Diceros bicornis minor: one gene and its partners. The protein of the gene in region 2 purifies or fractionates together with the protein of the main gene of each other region. This does not show direct contact. Links are inferred from orthologs where the notes say so. Each region holds a gene or a part of one and is shown on either strand. Other genes may lie near its edges.

Region 1 (7,646 bases), on a different chromosome or scaffold from region 2:
TTGCTCAGATCTGTATTTAAGACAGGATGGCTGCTCTGAGGCAGACGGAGCCAGGAAAGTCAGTTAGGATGCACTGTAATAGGCCAGGTAAAAGCCAAGAGTCTGAATACATGCAAGGGCAACAGGAATCGAAATGGGGGGGTGGGGACAAATTTGACAATTGTTTAAGAGCTAAAATCAGCAACACTTTGTGATTTATTAACAATTACTTCTTGCTTAAAATTCTTCAACAGCTCCACCACTTCCTACAGCCAACAGGACTGGCAGAAGGCGGGGCTGCAGAGGTGGTGAAAGAGGGAGGTGCCGAGGATCATTTTGACAGAAAGGAAAGGGCTGAAAGGGCGGTCCGAAGACAAAAAACATCTTCCATTGCTACATCCTTCCAGTATCCCTCCCTCTACCCTTCCTGGAGCTGAAGACCTTCACCACAGTGAACTGACTAGAAATCACCAACATTCCTTTTTCCCTTGGGCTAAAACACAGGTCGGCAACCTAGCCCCCTGTGTTTTTGTAAATCAGGTTTTACTGGAAAACAGCCATGCCCATGTGTTTACGTGTGGTCCACAGCTACTTCTTGCCAAGTTGAGTAGTTGTGACAGAAACCATATGGTCGGTAAACCCGAAAAAATGTACTATCTGGCACTTTATAGAAAAAGTTTGCCAACCTCTGTGCTAGAAGCTTAAAGGGAGTGGTTTAACAGAAGGTTCACCTGTCCTCAAATCTCCATATCAGAGCCCTTAGAAATCCAACAAAGCTTAAAAAGCAAATCAGTCTTCAGATGAGTCCTTGGTCCTTTACCTAATCGCTACTACAACCAGACTGAAATGCTCTCAGAATGTGGGGATTTTGATGATGAGGGAAAGGAAAGAGAAATAGGTAGATCTAGCGCACGGAGTACCAATAGGTGGTATGTGTTTGGACAGTTGAAGGAGAATGACATTAGGGCCCCAGGAGAGCAGAAGAGGTAAGAGCAGGTAGAGGGCGTCACTGAAAAACCCCAATGCAGTGTCACTGGGAGCTGAGCCCACCTCCTCCCAGAGGCCCAGCACTGTTGACATTCAACCAGACTCATTCTTGCCTCCTGAAATGCTCAGAGTGAGAATGTGGAGAGTAATATCCTAATGAACTGGCTCTGTGATGACTGTCAGAAAAATCAGGAGGGTAATATTTCATGGGGAATGGCCCAACACTAGCAGTAGGAAGCAAACAAGGTAAGAACAGACTATGCTTATGTGTCCTTATGTTTCTTAATGACAGATTAATAAATACATCAGTTAAAGCAAAATACATTTATTTCATTCATCTTGTAAAACGATGTGTAATTATTTCTTCTTTCCTCAGTTTAGGCAATCTGAGCTGTTTCCCAGTTTGCAGTCTTATCAAAGTCACAACCTAACACACTTTTGAATGGTTTCATGACTATATAATAGAAGTAATGACAATCATAACATATAAATAATTACGTGAACTAGTTGGATTCACCTTACCATGGACAACAGTCTATTGATGGCCACTGCCCGTTGCTGGGCTTCTATGTGAGGCATTTCATTCTGAATTACTTGGTCTGTGATTCCGTGAGGGAACTGCTGACATAATTCTATAATTCTAAGAACAAAGGCATTAATGATATTATTCATGTTTTCACCTATTTCAAGAGGCAGTGGGAGAAAAATACAAGCAAAACAGTTTGAAATTGTGCCTTTTCTTCACATTTGGCAGATAATCTGGGTTTCTATGATGGTTCTGAATCAAAGCATATTAGAAATTGAGGAAGATGCTTTCAAAATACACATTTACATTATTATTGTTATTTAAGGAAACTATTTCTTTTCCTCACCCATAGGAACTTCAAATTAGAACAAAGTCAAATGAAAACAGAAAAAAATATTAAAACCGAGGCTTCAATTTTCTCAGAAGGAGCAAGTATGACAAAGTTAAGACACAGTGCCTTGGATAACCGTAAGTCTGTAAGCAGGAGGCGAATCAGACACTTCTGATGGGAAGCCCAAGATTTGTTACGACAATTCATCACAGTTGGGGCCTGTTTTCGGAATTATCCCTACCAAACAAAAATAAGCCCGAATCTTCACCTTGTCATAAGATCATCATATGTCTTATTCCTAACAGTTTGAGAAAGTTGGGGTCTTCTAAAACTATGTAGTAACGTAAAAATTGCAGTACACGGATAGAGCATATAAAATTGGGAGAGCCTTTAGGTGCCCTAAAATCTTGACTTAAATACTGCATCGAAACCATTTGGCTTATGATGCTTCGTAATCGCAAACTGCACCCTAACTTTGCTCAAACGTTCTGTCGTGGGAGTTCCCTTAGCTACAAGACCGATCCTGGATCAGAACACGTATCCACAGGTACTACAGAAAAAACGCCAAGTCCTCTCTGAGCGTCCATCACCTTAATGTAGGAAGGAAGTGCATCACCACAACTTTTCGAACAGCCTCGGGGCAAGGTCAGCTACACAAGGTTGCAAACCGTCAAATCCGTTTCGAACTTCTTAAGAGTTCTGCTCTCTGAGGGTGGAGGTGGGCGGCAAATCCCGCACTCCCTCTCCTGCGCGCTCACGGAACTTGCTCTGGTATCTACCCAGGCTCCCAAGAGAATGGGTCCGGCTGCGGGGGCTCCCGAGCCGGGAACCGAGCCTCACTCAGTGGTTTACCTGTTTTCTATTTCCACCGGATCCGCGTCGGGCGGCTGCACCTTCACCTTCACCTCAGCCATGAGGGCGCAGTTCCCGGTCCCTGGGGGAGGAGAGGCAGGGAGCGGTCGGAGAGCCAGCGGGAGAACCCGGGAACCAGCGAAGACAGCACCCGGCCCGGGCAACGGGCCTTCTTCCTCGTGTCGCAGCCGGTCCTTCCTTGTCTGTCGGCTTGAGGTGGCCAAGCCGCGCCTGCTTCGCCTCCCTTGCCCGCGCCGCTAACATCTTTTTCTTGTTTTCCACAATGTCAGTGCTTTTCAGATGAACGAGCATGGCTTTCCCATTCTGAGTTGGGACTCCACCTCTAAGCACTCTCCAGCCTCTGTGAAGGCATATTCCCGGATGCCTACGGTGAAGCCTTAGGAAAGGAGCCCTGGCCAAGCGGCAGGGGCGGAGCTGGTTGCTAGGAAGCGGGTTTCCACCAATCACCTGCCCCGCAGTGGGCGGGGCGCGGCTCGCAGCGTCTGTGGTAACCCGGACTGCGATGCAGGAAAAGGCCAGAGGCGGTGAGAGGTGCGTTCCCTACCTGCGGGCGCCGGAGGTACCCCGGGGGTCCCTATCCGGGTTCTGGTGGCCGGCGGAGGAAGAGGAGGAGGGCCTCCTTTAGTCCAGCCGAAAGGGAACGGGCGTCCCTAGCTGCCCCTGGTGGGCGGGGACGGGAACGACACGGGGTTCCGGATCCCGGCGGTGAGGGGTAGTCTGGATGGAGGGAGTTGAGACGTGGGCGGTGCTGTTGATCCCACTCTGTCGTTTGGGCGTAGCCGATCCGCCTACTTCTTGATCCCCGTCGCTTGGGGCCACTGACCGCAGAAGCCTCCGAAGGGCAGCTCCTAGTGGCCGCGCGAATTATTTATTCCTCAACTATTTTTAGTTTGAACTAATTTTTCAACTATTTTTATTTTAACTGCCTCTCACTTAAATGGAAGAATGAGGAAGGGCACCCCTTGAGCCCAGCCCCCGTTCTGTAGGAGCTATTACTCTACTATCAGTATCTGCAGTTGAAATTCTTGGCCTCCTGTCTGAAACTATTCAACCAGGCATTAAGTTCACTCCTTAAATTTAGTTATCCTACTTTTGGGAATACAGTCTGTGACAAAGTTCAAATCCCAAGATGTTCAGAGCAGCATTATTTAGAATTGCAACAGCCAAAACTAAAAAGAAACTAGTAATAGCCTAAGTCCCCAACCACAAATTGATAAGTAAATACGTGGAAAATTATAAATGATAGAGTGAGGTGCAAGAAGTACACTAAGAAAAGTTGAATGAATATTTAGAGTACAACTGAGTAAAACCTACACATCCATAATCATTGAAATTTGAAAAGGCCATACAGAGATGTAAATGGTTGCTGTATTAAGGTGAGGGTCGCTTTTTTCCCCCTGAATCCTTTATGTATTAAAAATTATGACCTCACCCCCCCCCCCCCCCGCCCCCTATCCCCAGGAGAAAGATCAATAAGGCCTCCATACCCGTACTTAATTATTTATAAATACAAAAATGGAGTGAGAGACTTTTGTGTTTGTTGCTCACTGTTTATATCGACGCCAACTTGCTGTCAGCTGAGGCATAATACTCGGCCATCCCTCTAGAGTTTCTTTGCAGCTTTGAAATGCAAGAACCACTTGGCCACAGCTGCAGGGCCTTGAACTTGGAGCTTTCCCAAAGGAGTTGGCTCTAAATTAACGTTTAATGCTACATACAGAGTTACTTCTGTTCCTCTTGTGTGATGACTTGCCCTGAAGCCAAGAGAGGTGGCACACTAATAAGAGGCAGGAAAGGGTGATAATGATCCAGAGGGAGCTCAGATCACATCGTTAGTGATGGTCTCTGTTCTGACACATTCATTTAATTTCCCATTTAAGATAATTCCGTTTCCCCATCCCGTTTATTCGTACTCTTTTCCCAGAAGTGAGGCAAGTATTTAGAGAATCAAAACCCCACACAAGACCTGAAACAATTATTTCAATTAAAAATTGAATAATATTTGTAGGTGGTGTATTAACAGTATTCTTTTTAGTTTTTGCTAGTTTTACTGTATTTAAATGAGGTGCTTCTCTTCAGCTTTTGTGTTCAAATATAGGTGCCCATTGGAATTTATTTTCATCCACTTTTTTTTAATGTAAGGAGGGAAAATGACTGCTGGTTCAGTGTGTGTCCCTCAGATCATACCACTGCGAGTGCCTCAGCCTGGAAAAGCCAACCATGAAATTGATAACAATACACTTTTGGAAATGAAATCGGGTAAGAATCAAATGTACTTGAAATCCTTTAAAATAATTTTACTGTACTCTTTATGTTCATCTGGTTGTTGATTTACCTCTTTGCGTGCTTTCTATGGTCAGGACCTTAGGAAGTTTGTAAAACTTCCAAAACTTGAAACAGTGTTGTACCTGGTGGTTGATAGAATGGTGTGTATTTAGATTACAGAGGTTAGCTTTGACCAGTGTTTCATTTGTATAGGTATATAGTTGCAGCAGTGCCTTGACTCACGTTAGCCAAGGTAAGATGTCCCCGTGCTTCCCCAAACTTTCCCAGGATTCTTCTTATTTTGCTGGGATAGTAAATTTGACTTAGAAACAAAGGCTTTCCAGTCAGACAGGTTGAGATTGAATCCTGGCTTTGAGAACTTCTAGTGACCTTCAATACTTAGCCTTTCTGAGTCTCAGTTTCCTCATTGTTAGACAGTAATAATAATATCTACCATTTAGAACCATTGTAAGGATTGAATGAGTTGATATTTTATGTGAGATGCACAGGGTCTGGCACATAGTAATGCCAAAACAAATCTTAACTATTATTACAGAAATAAAGCAGTGACTGTATTTCCTGGTAATGCTGGAATATATATATATGTATACACATTCATATATATATATATCTACATACGTATGTATACAAAAACATATAATTTTTTTTTAAATTTTATTTATTTATTTTTTTTTCCCTGAAGCCCCAGTAGATAGTTGTACGTCATAGTTGCACATCCTTCTAGTTGCTGTATGTGGGACGTGGCCTCAGCACGGCCGGAGAAGCGGTGCGTCGGTGCGCGCCCGGGATCCGAACCCGGGCCGCCGGCAGCGGAGTGTGTGCACTTAACCGCTAAGCCATGGGGCCGGCCCAAAAAAAACATATAATTAACATAAGGAGAAGGGAAAGTTTTATAGATAAAACATATGAACAAATACTTGTTTAAAAACCTTTGAGATTCCAATTAAATATTTCAATAACTGATATGTGTAAAAACTATTTATCTATATTTATGGTGGTGTCTGTACTTCCTAGACTGAGAGTTCCAACTAAGAATATGTTACGTTATGCTATATTTCCCTTTATCTTAAAAGCTAATATTTTTAAAAATTTTCAAGCCAAAATACTAATTTTAATAAATGTGGCCATAACTCTTAGAAGAAATTGGGTGATTATTGACAAATGATGATATAAATGATATGGTATCCAAATTCTCTAATATTTAAATTGTTTAGTAAATAAAGAGGTTCTACAATTCAATAACAAAAAGAGTAATAACCCAATAGAAAAATGGCAAAGGATGTGAAAGGCCATTTTATAGGAGAGGAAATATGAATGTTTTTTAAACATATGAGAATGTGCTTCTACCCACCCCTGTACGTGCTTCCTGAGCAGACCTTCTCTCCCACTTTATTTACTCCATTGCATTCAATCACCACTTGACAGAATGTATATACTTATTTGTTTGTATACTGTTTGTGTGTTCTTCCTAAAACGGAGGCTACGTGAGAGCAGGGACTTTGGTCACTGGAATATTCCCAGTGCCTAGAACAATGTCTGGCACATAATAGGTATTCAGTAAATATTTGTTGAGTGATTGAATGACTCTTACTCAAAATGCAAGAAATATGAGTTAAAACTACAAGACATTGTTTTTTTGTGTGTGTGTGTGTGAGGAGATCAGCCCTGTGCTAACATCCGCCAATCCTCCTCTTTTTTGCTGAGGAAGACGGCCCTGGGCTAACATCTGTGCCCATCTTCCTCCACTTTATATGGGACGCCGCCACAGCATGGCTTGCCAAGCAGTGTGTCGGTGTGCGCCCGGGATCCGAACCAGCGAACCCCGGGCCGCCGCAGCGGAGCGCGCGCACTTAACCGCTTGCGCCACTGGGCCGACCCCTGTTTTTTTGTTTTTTACTGAGGATATCGGCAAAAATAAAAGAAAAATTGATAGCACACCGTATGGGTAAACAGGCACTTTCACGCATTGCTGGTAGCAGTGTAAATTGTTTCAACGTTCATGGAAGGAAGTTTGTCAATATTAACCAAAATTACAAATGCAGAAATCTTTTGACTCAACAGCACTAGTTTTATATATTTTATGTACATAAAAAGAATTTTTTACAAAGTTATTTGTTACAGTGCTTGTAATGGCAAAATAAAGAAAAGGAAAAAGAAAAAGAAAATAGCCTAAATGTCCATCTGCAGGGGATTGGTTAAATTGTGGTTCATATGTATAAGGAGAGAATACAATGCAGTCGTAACAAAGAATGAGGACACTCTTTATATACCAACATAGAACACTATCAAGATAATATTGTTCAGTGAAAAAAGAATTCTTTGGAACAGGGAATGGCATGCCCCCATTTCTGTTAAAAGAGAGGGGGAAATAAGAATATGTACATATCTACTTGTATGGATGTAAAATATTTTTGAAAGTATACTCAAAATACCATTGATTGCCTTTGGCCAGCAGATACCAGGGATGGGAGGGAGAGTTTTAATTATATATCCTTTTTTGACATTTTTAAAAAAAAATTGAGATATAATTGACATATAAGTTTCAAGTGTACGAGATAATGTTTTGATATATGTGTATATTGTGAAATGGTCACTACAAGTCTGGTTAACATCCACCACCTCACATAGTTAGAGATTTTTTTTTCTTGTGATGAGAACTTTTAA
Region 2 (7,917 bases):
GGGCTAACATCGGTGCCCATCTTCCTCCACCTTATATGGGACGCCACCACAGCATGGCTTACCAAGCAGTACTTCGGTGCGCGCCCGGGATCCGAACCAGCGAACCCCGGGCCGCCGCAGCGGAGCGCGCGCACTCAACCGCTTGCGCCACCGGGCCGGCCCCTATATAACTTATTTTTTATAGCTGCATACTAGTTCTTAGAATGGATGCATTATTTATTCGACTAGTCTCCTAGTTTCGGAGATTCAGGCTGTTTCCATTTTTGTTACTACTTTAAACAACGCTGCAATAAACATTCTCGTACATCAAGCCTTCCTACTGGTGCTTTTGTTTCTGTAGATGGATTCTTGAAACCTGCCTGGTCCACGGGCAGGGAGGGGTGGTTTGATGGTGATAGACACCAATCCCTCCTCCTGTCCCTCCCCCTTGCCTTGACCCAGATCTGGGGCTCCTCCCCCAGGCCAGCCAAGTGTGTCCCCTCCTACCTGGCTAACTGGCCTCTCCTCTCAGTTGCCCTAAAGCCCAGCTCAGAGCAGGCCCCACCCCCTGTTTTGATCCACCCCTGTCTACCTTGTTGACCTTTCCAGCTGCCTTCTGTCATCCACCTAGCAAATACGTGCCAGGCCCAGGACACTGGGGGTAAAGTGGTGAGTAAGATAAAGTCCTGCCCTCGTGGCGCTTACATTTGGGGTGTGGAAGATGCTAAAATAAGTAAAACATATCGTATGTTAGATGGTGACAGTACAGGGATGGAGCAGTGTGTCTGAGCAGGATTTACAGTTTTAAATAGGGTAGCCAGGGAGGACCTCATGAAGAGGGTAACGTTTAAGAAAAGACCCAAAAGTGGTAAGAGCCAGCTGTGCAGATATTTTGGGGAAGAGCTTTCCGGGCAGAGGGAAAGGCTAGAGCAAAGGCCCTGAGGTGGGAATGTGCCTGGAGTGTCTGAGGAACAGCCAGAAGGCTAGGGGGCCAGGAAGATGGAGCAGAGTGGAAGTAGGGGTCAGAGGTCACGGGGGGCAAGAGGAGTACAGGGCCTTGCAGGCCTCCAGAAAGACTGGCTCTTACTTTGTAAGGTGGGAAGCCACCACAGGGTTTGAGCGGAGGAGTGGCATGACCCCTTTGGCTGCTGCTGAAAATACAGTGTTGAGGGCAGGGGCAGAGGCGTCAGAGGCGGGATATGGTCTGAAGGTCAAGCACACAGGACTGCTGATGATGTGGGTCTGGGAGAAAGAGAACGGAGTCAAGGAAGACTCTGGGGTGTCTGTCCTGAGGAACTAGAAGGATGGAGCTGCCATTATTTCCCACTCCCATCCCCTTCTCACCCCTCTACCTGGAGCCACACCACAGCTTTCTCTCTCTGTTGTGAGGAGATGCCATGCCTCCTAGAATGTCCCTCCTGCTCCGTCCACTCCCTATTTCTGGCTGTCCAGTGCCAAATGCTACCTCTTCCTTTGGCCCATTCTCAGCAAATAATTATGGCCCGAGGAATTCTGGAAGCTTAGGTGAAGGAGAGGAATTTGTGGCTTGCAACAGAATTTGAACCAGCCCTCAAAACAACAAGTAGGATTTGGTTAAGAGGAGAGAGGAAGAGAGGGGATTCTAGGAGAAGAAAGCAGACTCAACATAGTGCTCGGAGGCAATTTTTTTTTTTTGTGAGGAAGATCGGCCCTGAGCTAACATCTGCCAATCCTCCTCTTTTTTTGCTGAGGAAGACTGGCCCTGGGCTAACATCCATGCCCATCTTCCTCTACTTTATATGGGACGCTGCCACAGCATGGCTTGCCAAGTGGTGCATCGGTGCACGCCCGGGATCTGAACCGGCGAACCCCGGGCCGCCGCAGCGGAGTGCGCGCACCCAACCACTTGTGCCACCAGCCCGGCCCCTGGAGGCAATTTTTAAAAAAGAAAACTAAGGAGAATAAAACTGCCAGGTGAACCCGTAACTTGTGTTGGCCTAACCACTAATGTAATTAGTCCTTCAATAAATGTCGAGCACCTACGAGCTGGGGCTACCGTGGTAAACAAGGCCGACACAGTCCTCGGTCTCCTGCTATTTACTTTTAGTGGACTTTCTAGCACATTCTCTTTGTAGTCATGCTACAGGGGACACCAGATTATTAGTACATTACTGAGTGTGGAGATTGAGTTGTGTGATTCGGCTGTGTTGTGGCTCTGGCAGCCTGAGTTGTCCTTGTCCACAAGGAGAAAGGAGATCTGACTTCTGAACTGGCCTGATGGAGCCTCCCTCCCCCAGCCAGTGCTGGGCAGGCACTGCCAATATTTGCCTCTCTGACTTTCCCTTCCCTATGCTTCTTTGGTTGATCAGATGCTCTCCTGATAAGCACATTCCTTCCTGAGAGAAGGCAATAGCTTTCAGTAGATTCAAGTAAAACTTAGCAGGCTTGGACCTTCTGACATTCTCTCTGTTAAAGACAACTTTACAGGGCCAGCCCAGTGGCTTAGCGGTTAAGTGCGCGCGCTCCGCTTTGACTGCGCAGGGTTCGATTCCGGCCGCGCACCTACGCACCGCTTGTCAAGCCATGCTGTGGCGGCCACCCATATAAAGTGGAGGAAGATGGTCAGGGATGTTAGCCCAGGGCCAGTCTTCCTCGGCAAAAAGAGGAGGATTGGCAACAGAGGTTAGCTCAGGGCTGATCTTTCTCAAAAAAAAAAAAAAAAAATTATAAAAAAAAAGAGACAACTTTACAGATCTCTGTTCTGATCCACTAAATGTTGATTCAGTTAAATCTCAGAAAGCAAGGTTGTTTTCAAGATCGTAGAGGGCAGCTTGCTATTGTGCCCATGGAATTCCACTTTTTGTTTTCCTTAAAAATAAATAATACAACATGTGGTCAGAGGTGAGCTGTGGAAACGTTTTGCATATTTTTCCTAAGTTGGAATTCTGCCAATTACCTTGTTTCTGCTAGCTAAGCTATGAATGAATAAAATGATGAATAAGACACACACAGTCCTCTCCCCTGGAGGACTCACATGGTGTGTGTGTAGGAGGGAGGGACAGATTGCAGACTTGACAGTGTTGAGACTATGTGGCTGGGCAGGAAGTCTCTATTGGGCTGTGATCTCTTGAGAAGGTCGGCTAGAGCTGGACTGCAGGAGGCTTGCTGTGTCAGGACCCATGTCTGGGGAAGAGGCAAAGGTCCCACAAAGTCAATTCCCCAGGAGCAAGGGTCAGAAATACTATTCAATTTTTTTTTTTGGTCTTTTTAAATGACCTCTTTTTAAAGAGGTCCCCTGCCCCTTATGTAGAGGAGTATTAAAAATGTGGCCCAGAACCCCTCTGCCCAGGAAGCCTCTGTGGACTGCCTCTTACTTTTCATGGTGTCCATGATGTGGCGCTGTTGGAAGTTAGTCAGTCTGGATTCCTTCATCATCACTGCAAAATAAAGCATTCTATGAGGCCTCCTGGGCTGTAGGCAGATGCCCTCGTCTCCCTCTATTTAAAGTTAAAACTGTATCACCTCCTACCCCCATTCTGCACCTGGTTACTCCCACTCTCCCTTTCCTGCTTAATTTTTTTTCTGTAGCACTTATCACCATCTAAGTTATATATATTTTACGTATCATGTATTACCTTCCTAGTAGAATATTAGCTCCAGGAGAGCAAGAATTTTTGCTGTTTTTTTAAAAAAATTTTTTACTGCTGTATCCTCAGCACCTAGAACAATGCCTAAAGCACACAATGGCCTTTTAAAAATTTTTTCTTGAGTGAATGAATGAATGAACAAGTATTCATTAAGCATATGCCAGCGGCTGGAGCTACAATTGGGAGCCAAAACAGGCACAATCCCTGCCCTGATGGATTTCACGAGCTAGAGGGTTAGAAGGATATTAATCTAATGGACACACTAAATATCTGATCACAGGCTGCACTAAGCCCAATGAAGGAAAAGGTATTTGGTAGTATGAGGGCACATAACAGTGGGTTCCACTGTGGTGGTGGTGGATAGGGAGGAAATAAGGCTTCCCTGGGGAACCTGAAAGTGTGATCTAAGGGATGCATAGGAGTTAACTCTAAAATTCTTAGTTCTTTGACTTTTGGCCACTTGCAAGTTGTAGGATCTCTGAACCTTTCTGAACCCCAGGCTTCTTATCTGTAAAACTAAAATAGCAATCGCTAAGCCATACATAGGTCATGTAGGGGAGAAGTGAGTTACACAGGGTAACTGTTACCACTGCTCTTCTTGTGTCCTTCAGCGCACTGACCTCTGAGCAGCTCACAGGTCCTCCGGGAGTAAGTGGCCGGCTTGGGGCAGCGCCAGAAGCCTGTTCCTTTGGTCACTGCCTCCACCCTCTCCTGGGAAGCCATGGGAGGACCTTGAGGAGGGAAAACGCAATGACACATCCATGTCTCCCAGGTCCAATCTTTGCTCCCGCATCCCCCAACACCATCCCAAGTCTGGGAGCGGGGTTCGGGCCGCAAGAGACTCCTGACGCCGCCCGTCAATACTGTGACAGTGCCCGATTCTCCTACCCCGAACAGATACACAAGCAGATGCACACACACGGGAACCGAGACCTTAGCTGAACCCGGCGCCTGTGGCAGGGAAGTCCCCTTAGGAGGAAGGGGGCATTAGGATAGCGGTGGTTACGACAGAGCCCATTGGGTGATACGCCAAAACTGAAACCTCACCCTAAAGTAAGACCCCGGCGGGGTGCCCCTGTCCCCACAGAGAGCGGCGCGGGCTCCAGAGACCGTAACCACTGCTCCACCGCGGCACCCTCACCGGGGCCCCGCAAAAATACTTGGAGATCTCTGGCACCAGAGCCGGCAGCTAGACGCTCTGGCTACCATGGTAACGAGCACGCGTCTCTGGGCGCATGCGCACATATATCGCTCCGGCTTGCCTCCCGGAAGTGATTGCCTCTGGGTCACGGCGCAGGCGCAGAGTAACGCGTGGCGCCGCTGGAGGAGAAGGCGCGTTGTGGACAGGTCGCTGCGTGGGTCAGAGGTGCGGACCCGCGTCGCCGCGGCGCGGGCGTCATGTCAGACAACGAGGACAAGTGAGTGCGGGAGCGAAGTGGCCTTTGCGGTGTCTCGGAAGGGGCGGCTGAGGCGGGGGCCTGGGTCAGAGGAGGCCGAGGAGCCAGGTCGAGGGGCAGTGTCTGAGGGGCTAGGGGTGCTGAGGGCCCGCGGAGCTGGAGAAGGGAAGGGCGGTGAACCGGGAGCATAGACCGGGCCAGAGGCTGGGCACAGAAAGCCCCAGGCTCGACGACCAGAAAGGATCAGTGAGAAGGGTGTCTTTCAGCAGACTTCCACTGACCCCGCCTCTGTGTCTTGTAATGGGAGTATTGAGGTGAATTAGGCGTAGCCCCTGCTCTCCAGGTGCTTCTTTTCTAGAAGAGGGGACAGGCCCGTAAACAGATAATACGGGGTCGCGTGAGATTACGTAGTAGATGTAGTATAGAGGTAATCCAGAGGAGGGTCAGGCCAGGCCTGGAGATGGTAGAGGTCTGGGAGGTGTGAAGTATCCACGTGGGAGAAGGTGGCGGCTTGTACTAGGAGTCGTGAGAAGTGGTTTTGAATTCTGGGTTTATTTTGAAGCTAGAGCCAAAAAGATTTCCTGACATGGGGGGTTGGAGGAGATAAAAATAGGGCAATCATCAGCCTAAGTATATTAATCAGAAGGAAGAAACAGGTGAGCTCATCAGGGGAGAGTCAGTAGAGAAGAGGAGATGACTGACCGTCAGAGCATTCCAACATGGAGTGCTGGTGGGGGAAAGAGGAGAAACCAGCAACGGAGGCTGAGAAGGAGCAGCCAGGGAGGTTGGGGAACACCAAGAGAGTGAGGTGTCCTTGCAGTCACATGAGGAGAGTGTACTGAGCGAGAGGGAGTGACCTAGTGTGCCAACTGACAGATCACGCCAAATGAGAACAAGAATAGGCCATTGGGTGTAGCCACGTGGAAATCATTAACGAGCTTGAAAGGAGTGGTTTTGACGGAGCTGGGGAGGTGCAAGTCTTCTTGGAGTGAGATTATGACAGAATGGGAAGAAAAGAATTGGAAACAGTGGAGGTGGATGACTCTTTCATGAATTTTGCTCTCAAGGAGAGCGTGGAAATAGGGCTCCGTGGGGAGGGAATAGAGAAATGAGTTTTGTTTATTAAGATGGGGAGATAACTACATGTTTATATGCTGATGGGAATGATCCAGTAGAGAGAGAAACAGTGATGATGAGTGAGTCCTAGCAAAATTTAGGGGCTGATGAGGAAAGGTTGAAGGAGTAAATGGAACAGAAGTTTGATTCACTCATTAAGTAGATGTTTATTGAGTGCCTCTAACATGTGGGGTGAGACACAGATCCCTGTCCTCTTGGATTCTAGTAAGTGATGCTTCAACTAACTGGCCTCTTCTTCTCGTACAGTTTTGATGGTGACGACTTTGATGATGTGGAGGAGGATGAAGGGCTAGATGACTTGGAGAAGGCCGAGGAGGTCAGTATTTAGCTGTGGGCTCCTGTGTCTGCAGCCCAAGCTGCCAGATAGCCCAGCGGTGATAATTGCCTGAATGCATCTCCCTCCTGTTCATGGTCAGGGCCCCTGCCACAAGCCCCCCCCGGTTAGAGCAGAGTTCCAGTCCTGGGTAGTGGAGAAGCCCTGCAGGTGGTCCTGAAGGCTTCTGTCCACTTGGACCACAGCCCATGGCTTCTGGGGCAATTAGTTCTCTGAGGGGTGAGCAAGTCAGTGAACACTTGTTGAATGTTTATTAGGTGCCGGGTGCTCTGCAGGGTGGGGCTACATAAGGAGCAAGGAGGAGAGTGACCTGGGATAAAGCTGGACAGGTTAGGGCCCAGATCAGGCAGGCTATTGTAGCCTAAGGGTAGCGGGAAGCCACTGACCAGTTTTGAGTCGGGGAGTGGCATGATCCAGTTTACACTTTAGAAAGAGCATTCTGGCCTCAGAATGAGGAGTGAATTGGGGAGGAGCAAGAGTAAAAGAGAGAGACCAGTTAGGGGACTTGCATAGATCTCCAGGTGAGAGACCTGTAGCTTGGACTTGGATGCTGGTAGTGTCAGTGATGAGAAAACATGAAAGAGAGATTTTGGTGGATTGGGTGTGGGGCTGAGAAAGTGGGAGATGGCAAAGATGATTCCAAGCCTTCTGGCTTGATCATTTAGGTGGATGGGTTACCAGCTTCATGAATAAAATAGGGCTTTCTGTCCTGTGTGACTGATGGAGGAAGAGGTGCTTTGTGTCTCCTGGAGAGAGAGTGATCCCTCGATTTTTTTAGTCTAGGAAGCTGAAGCTGTCTTTTTGGATTTCCTCTGTCTGCATGGCACTCTCGGGTCCCTATTCACTGAGTCAGAAACCTCCTTCTTCATCCCTCTGGTCCCTTCCATGCCTGTCCTGTTGATTCTGCCTCCTACATGTGGTTCAGCCCTGTTCCGTTTCTCCATTCCTAGTGCCGCAGTCCGGTTTAGATCTTCATTGCTCTACACCCACGTGACTGCAGAAATTGTGTTACTGGTTTTCCTGCCTTCAGTCTGCTGCGTTTGCCTTCCTGCTGCCAGAGTCATCTTTCTTACCTGCCTACCTGATCGATTACTATTGGTCTCCCTAAATGGTCTCTCTGCCTCCACCCTTGCCCCCTACAGGATATTCTCAACAGAGTATTGAGGATGATCCTTTTAAATCTTAAGTCAAACTGTGTCTCTCCTTTGCTTAGAACCCTCATCCAGTGGCTCCCCGTCTCATTCAGAGTAAATGCCAAAAAGACGTACAAGATCCTCCATGATCTGGCTGCCTGCTTCCTCTGTGACCTTACCCTTTCTAGCTTTCCCTGTCATGTCAGGCAGACCCCTGCTCAGGACCTTTGATCATGCTGTTCCCTCTTCCAGGCACACTTTTCCCTTAGATATGCACAGGACCTGCCCCTCACCTCCTTCAGGTCTTTGTC
Region 3 (6,987 bases), on a different chromosome or scaffold from region 2:
CTGCCTACCAACAAAAGCTACGTAATGTACTAAGATCCGTACACAATTTGCATTAGGAATTGCTGACTTAAGCTGTTAACTATCTCAGCCTGTAGTAACCACCACACTCCTCTTAACTGATGGATACCTACAGCTGCTTCCCCTGAACAGCCCTGTCTCACTGCTGCCCTCTGGCCCAAATGATGACAGGGAGTGTGGTGCACAGCAGCGGTTCTCAAACTTTTTTGTCTCAGCGCTCCTTTATAGAGCTTTTGCTTATGTAGATTGTATCTGTTGATATTTACCATATTAAGATTGAAAGTGAGAAAATTTTAAAGCATTTATTCATTCATTTAATAATAATATACCCATTACATGTTAATATATCTTTTAAATAAAAAATTTAGTGTGAAGAGTAGAATTGTTTTATATTTTTGCAAAGTTCTTTAATTTCTAGCTTAATAGTATTCACTTGGATTGAATGTAGAAGTATTTTTCAGTTGGACTAAATTTATAAAGGATAACTCCCCTCAACAACTATTTGGTTACCTCCAGGGATTTTAATTGTTTCATCATCCTGGAGGATCTGCTCAAAATACATTTTAGCTTATCTATGTTCCTGGCATTGTAGTGCTCAGAATAAAATATAATCTATTTAGGTTTGTGGTCAGATCAGTGTTGACGAGAGCTGCAAATTACAGTCATTATGAATATTAACTAAACTTTACTCTTGCAATACTTCCTAAAACCAAGTCAGGATAATCATGCTGCTCCACAGGGAAATCCTCTCCAAATGCAGATCTCAAATGTACCCAATTTCTCCACTTCCAGATGATCATCATCCCTAACATCCTAAAACTTTTTAAATTCTAACGCTTTATTACTTAAAGTTTTCCCATTTGCACTTAGAAAATCTAAGTTTCTCACCATGGCCTACCAGGTACTGTAAGAACGGAACCCTGCCTCTCTAACCTTTTCCTATGCTTTCTTCCCTTGCTCAGAACACTGCACACTACCCTGGGCATCTCTCCTTTCTTTAAACGTCCAAGCTTTTTCTTGTCACATATACTGCCACCTCTGGCTGGAGGTCTCTCCTCACTATTCTCTGTCTGGTTAATGCCTACTTAGCCTTCAGGTCTCAGCTTAATTATTACTTTCTCAGAGAAGCCTTTCCCTGAAAACTTGCCATCCTCTCTGTCAAACTCCAACTAAACTGGACTCTTATTATTAGTTCCTCCTCATCACATCAGAGTCTTTTCCTTTATAGCATTTATCACAATTTATAATTATGTATTTATTGGTGATAATTTAATAGGTATTTTTCTGTTCCACTAGACAGGACTGTGTTTATTCTGTTCAAAACCATATCCTCGGGGCCGGCCCTGTGGCTTAGCGGTTAAGTGCGCACGCTCTGCTGCTGGCGGCCCAGGTTCAGATCCCAGGCACGCACCAACACACCGCTTCTCCGGCCATGCTGAGGCCTCGTCCCACATACAGCAACTAGAAGCACGTGCAACTATGACGTACAGCTATCTACTGGGGCTTTGGGGAAAAAAAAAGGAGGAGGATTGGCAATAGATGTTAGCTCAGAGCCGGTCTTCCTCAGCAAAAAGAGGAGGATTAGCATGGATGTTAGCTCAGGGCTGATCTTCCTCACACACACACACACACACACACACACAAAACCATATCCTCAGGGCCTAACACAGGTCTAGTCTATCTTAGACTCAGTAAATAATTTTTGAAAGAATGAGTAAATTAAGGTCAAAGCCAATACTTCACAAAATGAGAAATCATAGATATATATTACTTAATCATCCTCATAGACTATTCCTATTCCAGAAACCCTTTGTGACAGGATATAAATCTTGCCTTTTTAGGAGAAGCCAAGAGACAGCACAGGACAACTTTTTGCTGAAAATATGGACATGATGTAAACAAACAACAGAAAAGGTTTCTTGGCGTCTCTGGCATACAAAGAAAAGTAGAAAGTATCTGGAGAGGTGGAAAAGGAGTACCTGGTTAATTCAGGACTGTTTATTCCCATAGACACCTTTCTACAGACACTCATACCTTCACCAGTGATCTACAAGTGTCTGATTTGGTTTTCTTAAAGCACGGAGTACGGGGATGTAACAGTCTGTGTGAGAACTATAGTGCTTCCCAGATATTCCCCTTCTCTCTCATAAGAATTTTCTCAAGGGTAGCACCCATTATTGTTTTTAAAAATGGTTCAAATAATATAAGATAAACAGATAAGAGAATGCAGTTGTCCAAGTAGTTCTCATACCTTTTGGAGGCATCCTCTTGTTGCAAGGCACTTGTCTGTTTAGTACCTACGATTAAAAAAACCCCAAAATCAGTAGGTCAAGTATACACAAACACACTAGGTTACAGGACAGATTCCTGCCCAAATATACTGCAGACCATTTTTTCTTCTTTTCCACACATTTCATTTCCAATCCTGTGTGTAAATCAAATGAAATGGGAAGGGATCCAATTTGTTTTTGTAAATTAATTAGTTATTCCCGAATTTTTGGTTAAAATGTACCTCTTTCGGGATTGAATTTTGTCTTGAAACACAGTTGCATAGTTAGGCACTCCTGCAAATCTGAGATCTGGCTCCTTTTACGGGCAACCTCTCTCCATCCCCCAAATGTTCGCTCCCAGGGAAAGGGAGGAGTATGACACCTCAGAGAACCGGAGCACCAGATCAGCAGGACATCTGGAAGGAGGACCAGTGCTAGGTTCAAGGCCAGCTGCGCACTGCCCGCTGACGCTGCCATGGTCACTTGCTCACTCTGGCGACTCCAGGCTCCCAGGATCTCTACTGCCCTTTCCCTCAGAGACTGGAGCACAGCCCTTCTGGGGAAAATCGTGGAATACTAGTGGAAAGAGGTGGAGGCGGCCGGAGGTCTTCCCCAGAACGCGCGAGGACGGCGGTGAGAAGCTCTCGGCCTTCTCTGCCCCGAAGACTACCTCCCCCGGGGCAGCCTTTCGGGAGCGCCCCGCGCGCCTGGTCTGGAACTCTGTCGGGGCTCAGTTCTCAGGGTCCAAACGTGGGAAGAGGCCCTTCTTCCTACCTGCGGCGTTTCGGGAGGCGCGGGGACCCCGGGCCTTGGGGCGGGCCGAGGGCAGCCTGGCCGGCTCAGCCATGGGACGCGTCCTCACAGGGTCGGGCCCCGCCTCGGCGTCTTCTCCCGAGGCTCCGCCTCCCTCGCGCAGCGCGGGGCGGGGCCCGGAGAGCGCCCTGCGCGGCCCCCGGAGGTGGAGGAGGCGGCTGAGAGGGGCGGGAGGGGTGGCCGGTAAGTGGGCGCTCCGGGAGTGCTGGGGGCTCGGGGCTTGCCGGGGGCCGTCAGCCGCGCAGGACTCGGGGCCGCGGACCAACTAGGCCCTGCGAGGTGGTGGGGCCCGAACGTCAAGGCGAGCAGGAATCGGGAGAAATGGCTTCCCTTGGATGCCGCCCGCACGCGCGCTGGGGTTTCATCCGCCCTGGAGCGCGCAGCCGTGAGGACCCCGCCGACCCGCGACCCCACTGTGGGCCTGGGGCTCGGCCTTCCTGCTGGGAGAAACGATGACCGGTGGCAACGGAACGGTGTTGTCCTGAGGGCCGCCGGTTGCCTCGTCTGCGTGCGATATAGTGATTTCACTGACTGGATTGATTATTTTGGGGAGTGCATCTCTTATAGAGAAATGTCTCGGTCACGCTTGGGGTGGAGGGCGTCTGAACTTGCACCCTCTCTGGGTGAGTTTTGTTGCACTGGCGGGACATTAAAACATAAAAAATTCCCTACTGATTTCAGGCCCACCTTTCGGAGATTTTTTCGGAAAAGAAATACTTTTCCTTTTTAAAGTCATTTATATAGTGCATATTTGTGTTGCTTCTTGAGAGTGTCTAGAGGATTTTTTTTTAAGTCTATCTTTCAAAACTATGCTCTAGAAAAGTTAAAAGATGCAACAGGAATTTTTTTTAAAATACATTTTTATTTTCTTGGGTTAACACTAACTTGCAGTAAAAGCATTTCAGCTTTACAAGTTTCCATTTTCTTTATTGTATTTACTAATAATTCATAAGAATGAAACATAACTTATTAATACTTCAGTGTAATATCACTTATAGTTAACAGTGTGTTTTATATTAGTACATTTCAGCCTCAAACTAGGAAAAACAGGAATGGCTGTGGAGGAACTTCAATCTATAATAAAGAGATGTGTAAGTAATTTTTTCTTTTTGTAAAGTTAAAATACCTTTCAAAATATGGGAAGGGTACAGATTATTTTTATTAACATTTGCAATCACTCAAATCGTTAATCTTCTTTAATCCTTGCTTCTTTTGACCTGTGAAAAAATAGCATGAGGGCAGGAAGGCAGATTGGATTATTTCTCTAAGTGACATACTTGTCTAAATAACCTTTTAAATTTTTGATGCTGATCCTTACCATAGATTTTTTTGGTACAATGGATTTCAAGATCATTCATTAAAATATTTATTAGGCTAATTCTAATTTTCATACATATGCTTGTGTGCAACTTATCTAGAATTTAAACAGATTTCCTTTTTTCAGAGAGTTAAATAAATCAGGTAGTTATTGGATTTGTATTTACCTCAACATGTTTGATTTTTGTTTATTTTGTTTTTGTTAGCAAATCCTAGATGAGCAAGACTTTAAAGAAGAAGATTTTGGCCTATTTCAGTTAGCAGGCCAAAGATGCTTAGATGAAGGGCACATAGACCAGCTATTAGAAATTATTCAAAGTGAAAAGAATAAGGTAAGTACAATCTTTGTGTGTACTTTTCAGTCTTTACTAGGAGAGAATAGCCGCATGATACTATTATTCATCCATTCATTTTTTTCATCAAACATTTAAGAATCAACTTAAATTTCCACAGTAGGAAACTGTGGGAAACAAAAAAGGAATTAGGACTATTCATATGCTTTCAGGTGCTTGCACTCTGGTGGAAGAGATGAACATGTAAACAGCTAGCAAGAAGGAGGCAGAACAAACAGATGCTTTACGTCTGTTAACTCATTTAGCCTCTCCAGAGTAAGTGCTATAGTTGAAATATAAGTAAAGTGCTTTAGAAGAAGAGGGATTACTTCTGGTTTGGGGATCAAAAGTGGCATTTGAATCATTAATTTACATTGAGAAATATAATTATCAGGCAGGCTAGATACTCATTTTTGGTGATCAGCACATTCTCTTCCTCCAGCCAGATGAATATAGAAAACCAAATATTAAGTCTTAGGTGCCTAGAATCAGAATATGGGGAGAGCTGGATGACCTTACTAGCCATTATCGTCCAGCTATGATTGTCTGAGAAGTCATTCTCCACAATGGGAAAGGATCTTTTTGGGATCAGGAACAGCTAGGACACAGTGTTGGCAATACTGCCAAATTTTGTGTCTTTGGACTCCCCTCCTTATACAAGGGAAGATCATCTTCTTTCCAGGAACATACTCTTTCTTCATTTATAGTATTATTTATTTATACAGGAGTTTTTTTTGTTGATACCACAATCTGGTCATGCTGGCCTGTGATTATATCTAGGGCTCCTTGATTGTATTTGGGAGGTTCCTAAAACTTTTGAATCACATATTGTTGTAGAATCTTTTAGTCAATAGTTCAAAGAGCTTATCTCTTTTTTATTTAAAAAAGATTTTAAAAATTAAAAAAATTTTTGAAAAAATAGAACATTTTATTTAATACATTTGTTTTTGATATGTGTTTATGGTACCTTTGTAGCCCAAAATAAAGTAAATTTAATGTTTTCTTTAACTCCTTAATTTTTCCCAATTGTGTTCTCAGAGGATAACCTTTGAGAGTACCTTACTTTTAGCTAATAATAATAAAATTAATAATAGCTAATATTTATTGTGTATTTACTATGTGCCAGATGCTGTCTTAAGTGCTTTACATCTGTTAGGTCATTTAGCCTTTCCAGAATCCCATAAGATAGGTACTACTATTAAATTCATTTTGTAGATAAGGAAACAGTCACTGAAAGATATGTGACTTGCCCAAAAGTAACTCAGCTTTTATGTGACATCCAGGATTCAGACCTACGAAGGCTGGTTTCAAAGCTCGTAACCACTCTGCTCTGCCTCTCGTCCGTGTAGCACTCGCAGGGAAGTTTTAGAGTAGAACAGAGGGAACTGGTTGATTGTGGGGTGAGACAGAGTGAGGCATCAAAGATGACTGGGTTTCTAGCCTCTGAGAGGATAATATATTGTGTACCGAACAGAAAAAGGCAACCTAAGAAGAAGAGCAAGTTTCCTGAAGGAGGACAAATAAGTGTATTTTGGAAATATTGAGTTTAAGATGCAGCAGGCAGTTAAAAAGTAATGTTTGGAGCCCAGTAGGGAAATAGGAGATTAAGATGTAAATTTGTGCATGATTATTAGAGATTAGATGATTGTGATAGATTTAAGGATAGTGAAGCTTAGTCTTAATAGCTTGAGAATTACCTTTGTAACGTGTGGTCTGCTAAATTCAAAGGTTCAAAAATTGATAAGACAGTGTTTAAAACTGACTGCAACCTTGGTCCAGCCCCGGCAGCGAAGTGGTTAAGTTCAGCGTGCTCCACTTTGGTTGCCCGGGTTCGGTTCCTGGGTGCAGACCTACACCACTCTATTAGCGGCCATGCTGTGCTGGCGGCCCACGTACTAAAAAATAGAGGAAGATTGGCATGGATGTTAGCTCAGGGCAGATCTTCCTCGGCAACAACAAGAAAAAAAACCAAAAACTGACTGCAACCTAATTTTCTTGCCAGGTGACACAATTAAGATTTACTATTAATATGCTTTTTTTTTTTTTTTTTCTGGTGAGGAAGATTCGTGCTGAACTAACATCCTTTTCCAATCTTCCTCTTTTTGCTTGAGGAAGATTAGCCCTGAGCTAACATCTGTGCCAATCTTCCTCTATTTTGTATGTGGGTCGCCACCTCAGCATGGCTGATGAGTGGTGTAGGTCTGTGCCTGGGATCCGAACCCATGGACCCAGGCTGC
Region 4 (7,493 bases), on a different chromosome or scaffold from region 2:
TATAGAAGAGGAAAGTGAGGCCCTAAGAGGTTAGCTGACTACCTGAAGACACGCAGTTAATTGCTAACAACGAGTGGACTGGGGTAAAGCCTCAGGATATCTTTCTCCATTGTCCTTTCTCCATTACGCTGCCTGAAATACATTTCTAGGCTAGTTGAATAGTTTTTTAATCCCGTGGATGTGTTTAATCTTTACAGTGAAGTGAATTAGTAATGGCAAAATTGACTGGTTTTAAAAATGTAAAATCAGAAGCATCATCTTTCCATTTTGGGATGCCTCCTGAAAATTCCTATTCAGAATTGTTTTGAGATGGCTTGATGAGTGTAGTTCAACCATCCATGAGCTGAAATGCAAAAGCCCATTCTAATCAACTATAAAAACAACCCCGTGGCAAAGGCTGAGCTAACCTCTGAAACTTCTCCTAGTTCTAACCTTTTATGAATTATGATTGTGCTTAAATGTATTTTTCTCCACATCTCACACAGTCTTTTGCACATATTAGCTAGGTGAATAAATGTACAAACAGACGTAAGCAGGCAAGGAAACTAGAGGACGCACTGAAAGCCAGGTCACAGTATCTTTCCTAATGAATGACACCTAAGTTGCCCCAATAAGAACCTGGTAGTCATGCTGACCTCCTCTCCATCTCCCTCAATCCCCTCATCTAACAGCAGAAGACTATCAGCTCTGTGTCCTCTCTCACATGTTCACCTTCCTTCACCTCTGCTTCAGTTCAGGCCTTCACCATCTCTCGCCTAGAATTCTAATACAGAACAAATAAATTTCCCACGGCCAGACTCCCCCTTTCAAGCCACTCTCCGGTCATCTTTCTAGAACACAAACCTTGATGTGCCACTCTCCTTAACTGGCAGAGCTTTCAAGTCTAACTTTCTGCCTCTCGCCCCATGTATCCCACACTCTAGCCACTCTCAAGTCTGCTACACCAGCTCATGCCTATAGCGTTACTTCTGCCTGGGGTGCCTTCCACCTGAGCATCCCCAGCATTATTTAAGATACTATGCAAATGACACTTGTCTGTGACCATTTCCTCCAGCTTACATGGAGGTAGGCCTCTCCCTTCTCGTTGTTTCCCTAGTACTACATTGCTTTTATTACCCTTTTTAAAATCATGTTGTAATTGTCAGTTCTTGTCTGTCTGCCCAGTAAGCTCCTCAATTATCCACTCATCAAGTATTTATGAAGCATCCTCTGTGTCAGACCATCTTTCACACATTGGGAATATAGCAGTGAACAAAACAAGTCTCTGCTCTCATGGAGCTCATAGTCTAGTATGGGAAATGGAAAATATAAATATATTTTATAGAAAGTGTCAGGTAGTGATCAGTGATATAAAGAAAAAACAGGAAACATGGATGCTATTATGGAAAGGATGGTTGAAGAAGTCCTCCCGTATTCTGTAGTATTTGAGCACAAACCTGACAAAAGTGAAAGAAAGAGCCATGCCAAGGACTAGGAAGATATCCAGGGGAAAGTCTGATCCAAGCAGAGGGATTTGTAAGTGTGAGGCCTCCTTGAAGACTTACTCCCCTTTTCCTGCCCCATCACTCAGCAGAGCTTGGCAAAAGTCCAGTGAATACCCGATGAATTATTGCTGAGCTCATGGCCTACTGACGATATCACTCCATTTCACCTCCAGTGGATCCCCTTTGCCTAGACGAAAGATACCCAAACTACAGTGAGCTCTGTGCTTCCCTGAGAACGTCCTGAGGACAGCTCAAATGCCACACCCCAACAATCCCTGCCCTCTGTATTTTTATAGCACCTAGTTTTGACTTCCTCTGCGGTACAGATCCCATATTGCTTTATATTGCAAATATCTGTGTACAGATATTATCTTCCCTTAATTCTTGAGAACCCAGATCATGACTTTTTTTGGGCACAATTCTGTTCTTCACAGATCACCTAGCTCAGGGACTTGCACATAACGATAGCCCTGAACAGTGACTGGATAACTTCTAACTAGACGAGGAAACTATTCAGAACCGCTGCATCCCTACCGAAGGCTTTGGGGGTGGGGGGAGAGTACACTTCTCTTTCTAGGAAGGCTTTCTAGCAGCTGCCACAGTAAAGGTTTTCCTAATTATCTTCTATAATGCTGTCTCATGGGTGTTTTATAATTTTTCCTGGCTGAGTAGGGAGGTTAGTTAAGTCTTCAAGGGAATTTTTGACACCTAAATAGATGTTTCAATAGCTGGGAAGGGTGGGGTGGGGCGGGGACAGGGACATGGTGTTAATAGTGGGGGTGATTTATGTCGCGGGGGGGGGGGGGGCACACCCAGTCAGTATCCACTTTTCCTGTCCTCACAAGGTGCGGCTGCCTCCACCTTTCCTTAGTTGAGCCTTTCTACCAACTTTCTTTGCTCTCTTCCAAGAGCGGACAAAGTAACCGAAAAAATGGAGGATGGGGGGAGAAATACAGAATTTCATTATGTAGAAGAGAAGAAAATCCTTATTAACAACCCCTCTCCCACGATACAGGGTAAAGTGCCAACAGTTAAGAAAACATACTGAATAGTCTGTCCTTAGCTGCAAGTCTGCGGCAATGACTCGTGCCTGAACCAACCCTAGTCATCGGATTTGAAAATCTACCATCGGTAAGAGCACAAATGCCCTTCTCACTCACTGCAAACAGTCCCAAGAAGTGGAGACTAGGTAAGATCTGGAAACGACGACTTTAAAAGATTTTGAAGGGACTAGGAAAAGGGGAGGTAAAGCTATGTCCCAACGCCTCTCAATCCAGAAGCGCTTTAATGAATCTTCATCCCCGACTTCCCCCACCTTCTCCATGTGCCTCTTTAATTACCCTCTACCCTCTCCATCTCCTCCCAGGCCCTCAATCGCTTGCTCTGTTACCTGCTCACTAAGTCTCGAGGCTTGGGCAACACTGCACAGCCGAAGCGCCGGCCGGCAAAGAACGGGTGCGGACCGAGGACGCCGGCTCTCGGGTGCTGCTGGTTCCACCTCTGGAGAAGCGTGCTCCGCCCTCCACGCGGCCTCAGAGCCGCGTTCGCATCCCGACTAGTTAGCCCCGCCCACCCCCCAGCGAGGCCCCGCCCGCTGGGCCAAGAGCTTTTTAGCCCTCGGCAGGCACCGTAGTCTTCCAACCGGCTGGACCAGACTCTTTCCGCGCCGGCTGAAAGTGCGCATCGCGGCGCGTGGTTGGTGGGCGGGCCTGCAGCCTCCCACGCCTCGTTCCTGGCCTCTGCAGTCAGGCCCCCGAGGTGGGGACCGTGTCGCCTTCTGTGTCTCCAGTCTGCTGCAGTGGCCCCTGCGTGAACGCTCCCTCCTGCTGCGGCTCCAGAGGCTGCGATTGCTCCAGCGCCCGGGGCGGGCTGAGCACCTCTGTTTTCTGCAGACCAGGCGGGAGGGTGCGGTGGCCGCTCCGGGCAGCGTCTGCGCGCGTCCTTCCTCCTCCTGGTTCTCCCTCGCCCCTCCCGCATCCCCCGCCCCCTCCTGGCTCCGCGCCTCCTCCCAGGCTGCGGGCAGACCGCTCCACACCGCCGCAGCGCCTCGGGTCTGGACAGCCTGCGAGGGGCACACACGCCCACACCCACTCCGCCCGGCTGCACCCCTGCCCAGCATGTCGGCGCTCGAGTGGTACGCCCACAAGTCTCTGGGCGACGGCATCTTCTGGATTCAGGAACGCTTCTATGAGTCGGGCAACCGCGCCAACATCTGGCTGGTGCGCGGCTCCGAGCAGGACGTGGTGATCGACACGGGCCTGGGGCTGCGCAGCCTCCCCGAGTACCTGTACTCCTCCGGCCTCTTGCAGGACCGCGGGGCCAAGGAGGACGCGGCGTGCCGGCCGCTGCTGGCTGTGGCCACCCACGTGCACTTCGACCACTCCGGCGGCCTCTACCAGTTCGACCGGGTGGCGGTGCACCACGCCGAGGCCGAGGCGCTGGCTCGCGGGGACAACTTTGAGACCGTGACCTGGCTGTCCGACAGTGAGGTGGTGCGGGCGCCCAGCCCCGGCTGGAGGGCCAGGCAGTTCCGAGTACAGGCGGTGCAGCCCACCCTCATCCTGCAGGATGGTAATGGGCCCTCACGGGCGCGCGCTCTCACATTAGTGGAGGGGATTGGGGCGAAACTGGCCGAGGGATGCATGCTGCAGACGTGCGTGGCTGTAAGGGGCTTGTTTTGTCACCTCGCAGGAACACCACTTCTTTTTCTCCCTTTCCTGCGTAAAAGCCCCCTCCACGGGAGCCAAGGCTATCGCAGCCTTCCCTTCCAGAGACCAGCTCTGGCACAGTGTAGCAATGCCGCGTGCTCGAATGAAAGCCGGCCCCACCCCCTGGTCAGTTTCTTGTGTAAGGTACAGTAGTAACACTACAGAGACTTGTGACTAGGGATTTCCCATTCTTTTCCCGAACACTTGTCTGACGTTTCCAGGCGGTTTTCTAGCGAGCAGACTTTTAAGGAATGACGCCTCCCGGAGAGTGCTTGTCATGCTCTGTGCTTTTGAGAACTGCTGACTTCATCCGCCTTGGTCAGCGGTCACCGCCGGGAAGGAGCAATTCCCACCTGTAGGCTTAGAAAGCCTTTAGAGAGCAGTGGTTCCAATCTGCTCGTGCATCCTTATCTTCCAGATAGGTTTCTGTGCTTGACGTTGCCTCACGAGAGAGCAAGCTTGATAGTGAACATGAAAAGTAGAATATGGCTGAGTCTTAACATGATGAGATACCTGGTCTGGTTGAAAGCAAGGCCTGAGAAAGATTAATAAGGAGGTTATTTCCGGTGATGGGTGAAGTATGTGGACTAAAGCATGGGCCTCTTTGGCTCTGTGAAAGACAGGATGGGGATCAGAGAGAAGTTATTGGAATAAAATAAAATAGAGTAAGGCCCCAACTCCCCCAACCTTCCCAACCCCAAATAGGTGCTTAAATAATTGAGCTGATTAGCCACAGCAGCAATATATGTGTATTAATTTCCTTTTTTTCTTTTTAGAATACTTTTGTTGATTTCATTTTATCCTCACAACACATTTGAAGTGACGTGGCTGACCCCCAATTAAATCGCTTGCCTAGAGTCCACAGAGCAAGATAGTGACAAAAGCTAGGGTTTGAACCAAGGCACAATAGATCAAAGTATGCAGATCATACCCCATAAATCCTACCCCATAAATATATTATGGTAATTCTGAGTAGGATGCGAAACCCCCTTCTTTCCTTTCTATCTTGAAACCATTTTAATTGCCACTTTAATTTATTAAAACGTTCCTCTAAAAGGTAGAAAAATCCAGTTGCTGCGGTACAATAAGGCTCACTTTATGACCAACCAATATGACAAATTATGAAATATTTTACAAAAATCAGTTTATCTTACAGATGAGATCTTGATCACTTGAGATATAAAAATACAAAGCAAGATTCTGTACTTCACACCCCACCCAAAAAGTCTTTTCATTAAAATTTTAAATCTAAAGATTAGGAAAAAAATGAGTTTAGATGGGAGTCTTACATTACCTGATAATTTGAGGTAAAAATTACTGTATTTGTTGATAAAATTGATACTTTTAGAGATAGGATTTCCATGCAGTTGATGGGTATTCAGACTAAATTAATTCTGGCACCCAGACCAAAAAATGTTTACATTAGTATTTAAAATATATTTAAATTTTCTAAACGAATAAATTACTTTTGATTTATTTACTTTTGCTGCGCTGGTGGCAATAGGAAATCAATGGTGAAAGAATGATAGGAATTATTATTTTGTAGATGAAGAGTCCAGGCAGGCCCGAATATCATATCTGAGGGCACGTAGCCAGTTTGGGAAAGAGCTGGGACTAGAACCCAGGTTTCCTAAATCCCAGTTGTTGGTAGAATTACAGCATTTTGTTGCTGCAAGGGGCCTGCTAGCTCCCTGTGTGGTGCTTTAAGCCTTTGAAGGTGTGAAAAGAAAGCTTAATATTTACCAAACACTTTGAAGGTGATAGTACTGTGTTAAATCAAAAGTTGTTTTTCATTAGGAGCTAGATGCCTCACCTGTCAAGTTGTATCTAATTTCCTATTTTCTCAGGAATATTAATTTCCTGTCTCTTCTCAATGGTGTGGCCTGCTAACTTGTTATTCTCATAATTCAGATGCCTGGAAAGAGATAAAAAATATTTGTATTAAGAATTCATACACAGTTACACACACATGAGCAGCGCATACCCAAACAACATAAAGTCTTCATTGCTTTGGTTAGAACATAAGGAGGCTGAAGTCATTAGTTTATATTGCATTTCATTTAGTGAATTGATGATCACCTGTCATGGAGAAGCATAAATCTATGCACTGTATCACTAACCTAAAAGCTGATTTGTAAATGAGGGACAAAGAAGACAGGGAGAGAGCATCATCTAGTGCATCATCCTTGATGGAAAAACAACTCACCCTACTAATGGTGAAGTAGTATCTTCCTATAAGAAGACAGCAATAAACCATAGCGTGATCTAGCACATTCTTCTTGAACAGGCACACATCATTTTGCCTATTTTTCACAACACTCAAGTGATATAAAGTGCAGGCATTTTGGCCCTTATTATACATGTTTAAACAATTTGCCCAGAGTCACAAAGATATTAGAGCAGTTTTTTCAGATCGACTTGAATAATTGGAGAAGGTTAAAAACAAAAAGGAGATTCCAGAAAGGTAGCACATTGAACAGACACATCTAATTTGACTCCTGCCCAAAACCCCGCTAAGAGTGCTGTACAGGGACCGTGGTTTGTCTCTGTTTTAAGTATAAATCCACATTGACTGAGGAACTGTTTCAGATGCTGGAGAGTAAATGTGATGACTGAGTTAGCAGTTTTACCCTATGCCAGCAATGGGAAATCAAGAGCCAGTCCAGTTTGCATTGCAGGGACCTTCCTGCAGGCTCAGGAATTGGCAGTAGCTGGTACCTTAGGGGCAAAGGAAAGAATACTAAAATAAGTAGAGTTGATTGAAAGCCATTTAAGACGCTGTTAAAACGCCAGAACCCTTCTTCCTAAGTGAATGCCCACCCAGTTAGTTTGTTCTCTGGGGAGAGTAAAACAGAGGGGTTTCTTGTTTGAGGGATGCTAAGTACTATTGAGCTCAGGGGTTCAGTATGGAAAATAGGAGGAATAATATATATATGTATGCCTACTAGTTTCCCAGAAGGATGAGAGCCAGGCCTTTAGTAGGAAATTGGTAGGAAATTGGAAGAATCTTATCTGGGAAATCTGCCTAGCCCCAGAGGAAAGACTAAGATGCTGATCCTTGAGTAATCCTTGGCTTGATCTCTCTACAGTGAAGCCTAGGTCACTAGGTCGCATGCACGAGCTTCAAGCAGCCTTTTCATCCCCCACTCTTAAACAGGCAATCAAGCATAAAAATCGGGGAAAATCCTCTAACATGAGATCAAATACAAAAACAAACAGCATCAAGCAACTTGAGAGGGGAGGACTGTTATTAATATCATGAGAGGATAACAGAAATGATTGAATTCAAGATATCCAAGAG

The links.
Region 1: the proteins of POLR2F (region 2) and POLR3F purify together in Homo sapiens (affinity purification with mass spectrometry; 4 studies listed by BioGRID and IntAct, with this or other methods). This does not show direct contact. The link is inferred for Diceros bicornis minor from reciprocal best matches to the Homo sapiens genes POLR2F and POLR3F.
Region 3: the proteins of POLR2F (region 2) and RPAP2 purify together in Homo sapiens (affinity purification with mass spectrometry; 4 studies listed by BioGRID and IntAct, with this or other methods). This does not show direct contact. The link is inferred for Diceros bicornis minor from reciprocal best matches to the Homo sapiens genes POLR2F and RPAP2.
Region 4: the proteins of POLR2F (region 2) and POLR3G purify together in Homo sapiens (affinity purification with mass spectrometry; 3 studies listed by BioGRID and IntAct, with this or other methods). This does not show direct contact. The link is inferred for Diceros bicornis minor from reciprocal best matches to the Homo sapiens genes POLR2F and POLR3G.

The regions. Positions count from the first base shown.
Region 1 is NC_080758.1:45,143,451-45,151,096, reverse strand, and holds the start of POLR3F (DNA-directed RNA polymerase III subunit RPC6), read right to left. Parts: upstream 3,014-7,646; 5' UTR 2,738-3,013; coding exon 2,676-2,737; intron 1,607-2,675; coding exon 1,489-1,606; intron 1-1,488. Other genes in the region: DZANK1 (double zinc ribbon and ankyrin repeat-containing protein 1), read left to right, coding at 4,847-4,955. UniProt on the Homo sapiens protein: DNA-dependent RNA polymerase catalyzes the transcription of DNA into RNA using the four ribonucleoside triphosphates as substrates.
Region 2 is NC_080764.1:11,849,045-11,856,961, reverse strand, and holds the start of POLR2F (DNA-directed RNA polymerases I, II, and III subunit RPABC2), read left to right. Parts: upstream 1-4,915; 5' UTR 4,916-5,003; coding exon 5,004-5,023; intron 5,024-6,385; coding exon 6,386-6,455; intron 6,456-7,917. Other genes in the region: C25H22orf23 (UPF0193 protein EVG1), read right to left, coding at 3,333-3,395, 4,226-4,364. UniProt on the Homo sapiens protein: DNA-dependent RNA polymerase catalyzes the transcription of DNA into RNA using the four ribonucleoside triphosphates as substrates.
Region 3 is NC_080743.1:28,575,306-28,582,292, reverse strand, and holds the start of RPAP2 (putative RNA polymerase II subunit B1 CTD phosphatase RPAP2), read right to left. Parts: upstream 3,014-6,987; 5' UTR 2,766-3,013; coding exon 2,531-2,765; intron 2,316-2,530; coding exon 2,270-2,315; intron 1-2,269. Other genes in the region: GLMN (glomulin), read left to right, coding at 3,673-3,724, 4,122-4,192, 4,625-4,750.
Region 4 is NC_080740.1:16,947,972-16,955,464, reverse strand, and holds the start of POLR3G (DNA-directed RNA polymerase III subunit RPC7), read right to left. Parts: upstream 3,014-7,493; 5' UTR 2,875-3,013; intron 1-2,874. Other genes in the region: acyl-coenzyme A thioesterase MBLAC2, read left to right, coding at 3,602-4,055. UniProt on the Homo sapiens protein: DNA-dependent RNA polymerase catalyzes the transcription of DNA into RNA using the four ribonucleoside triphosphates as substrates.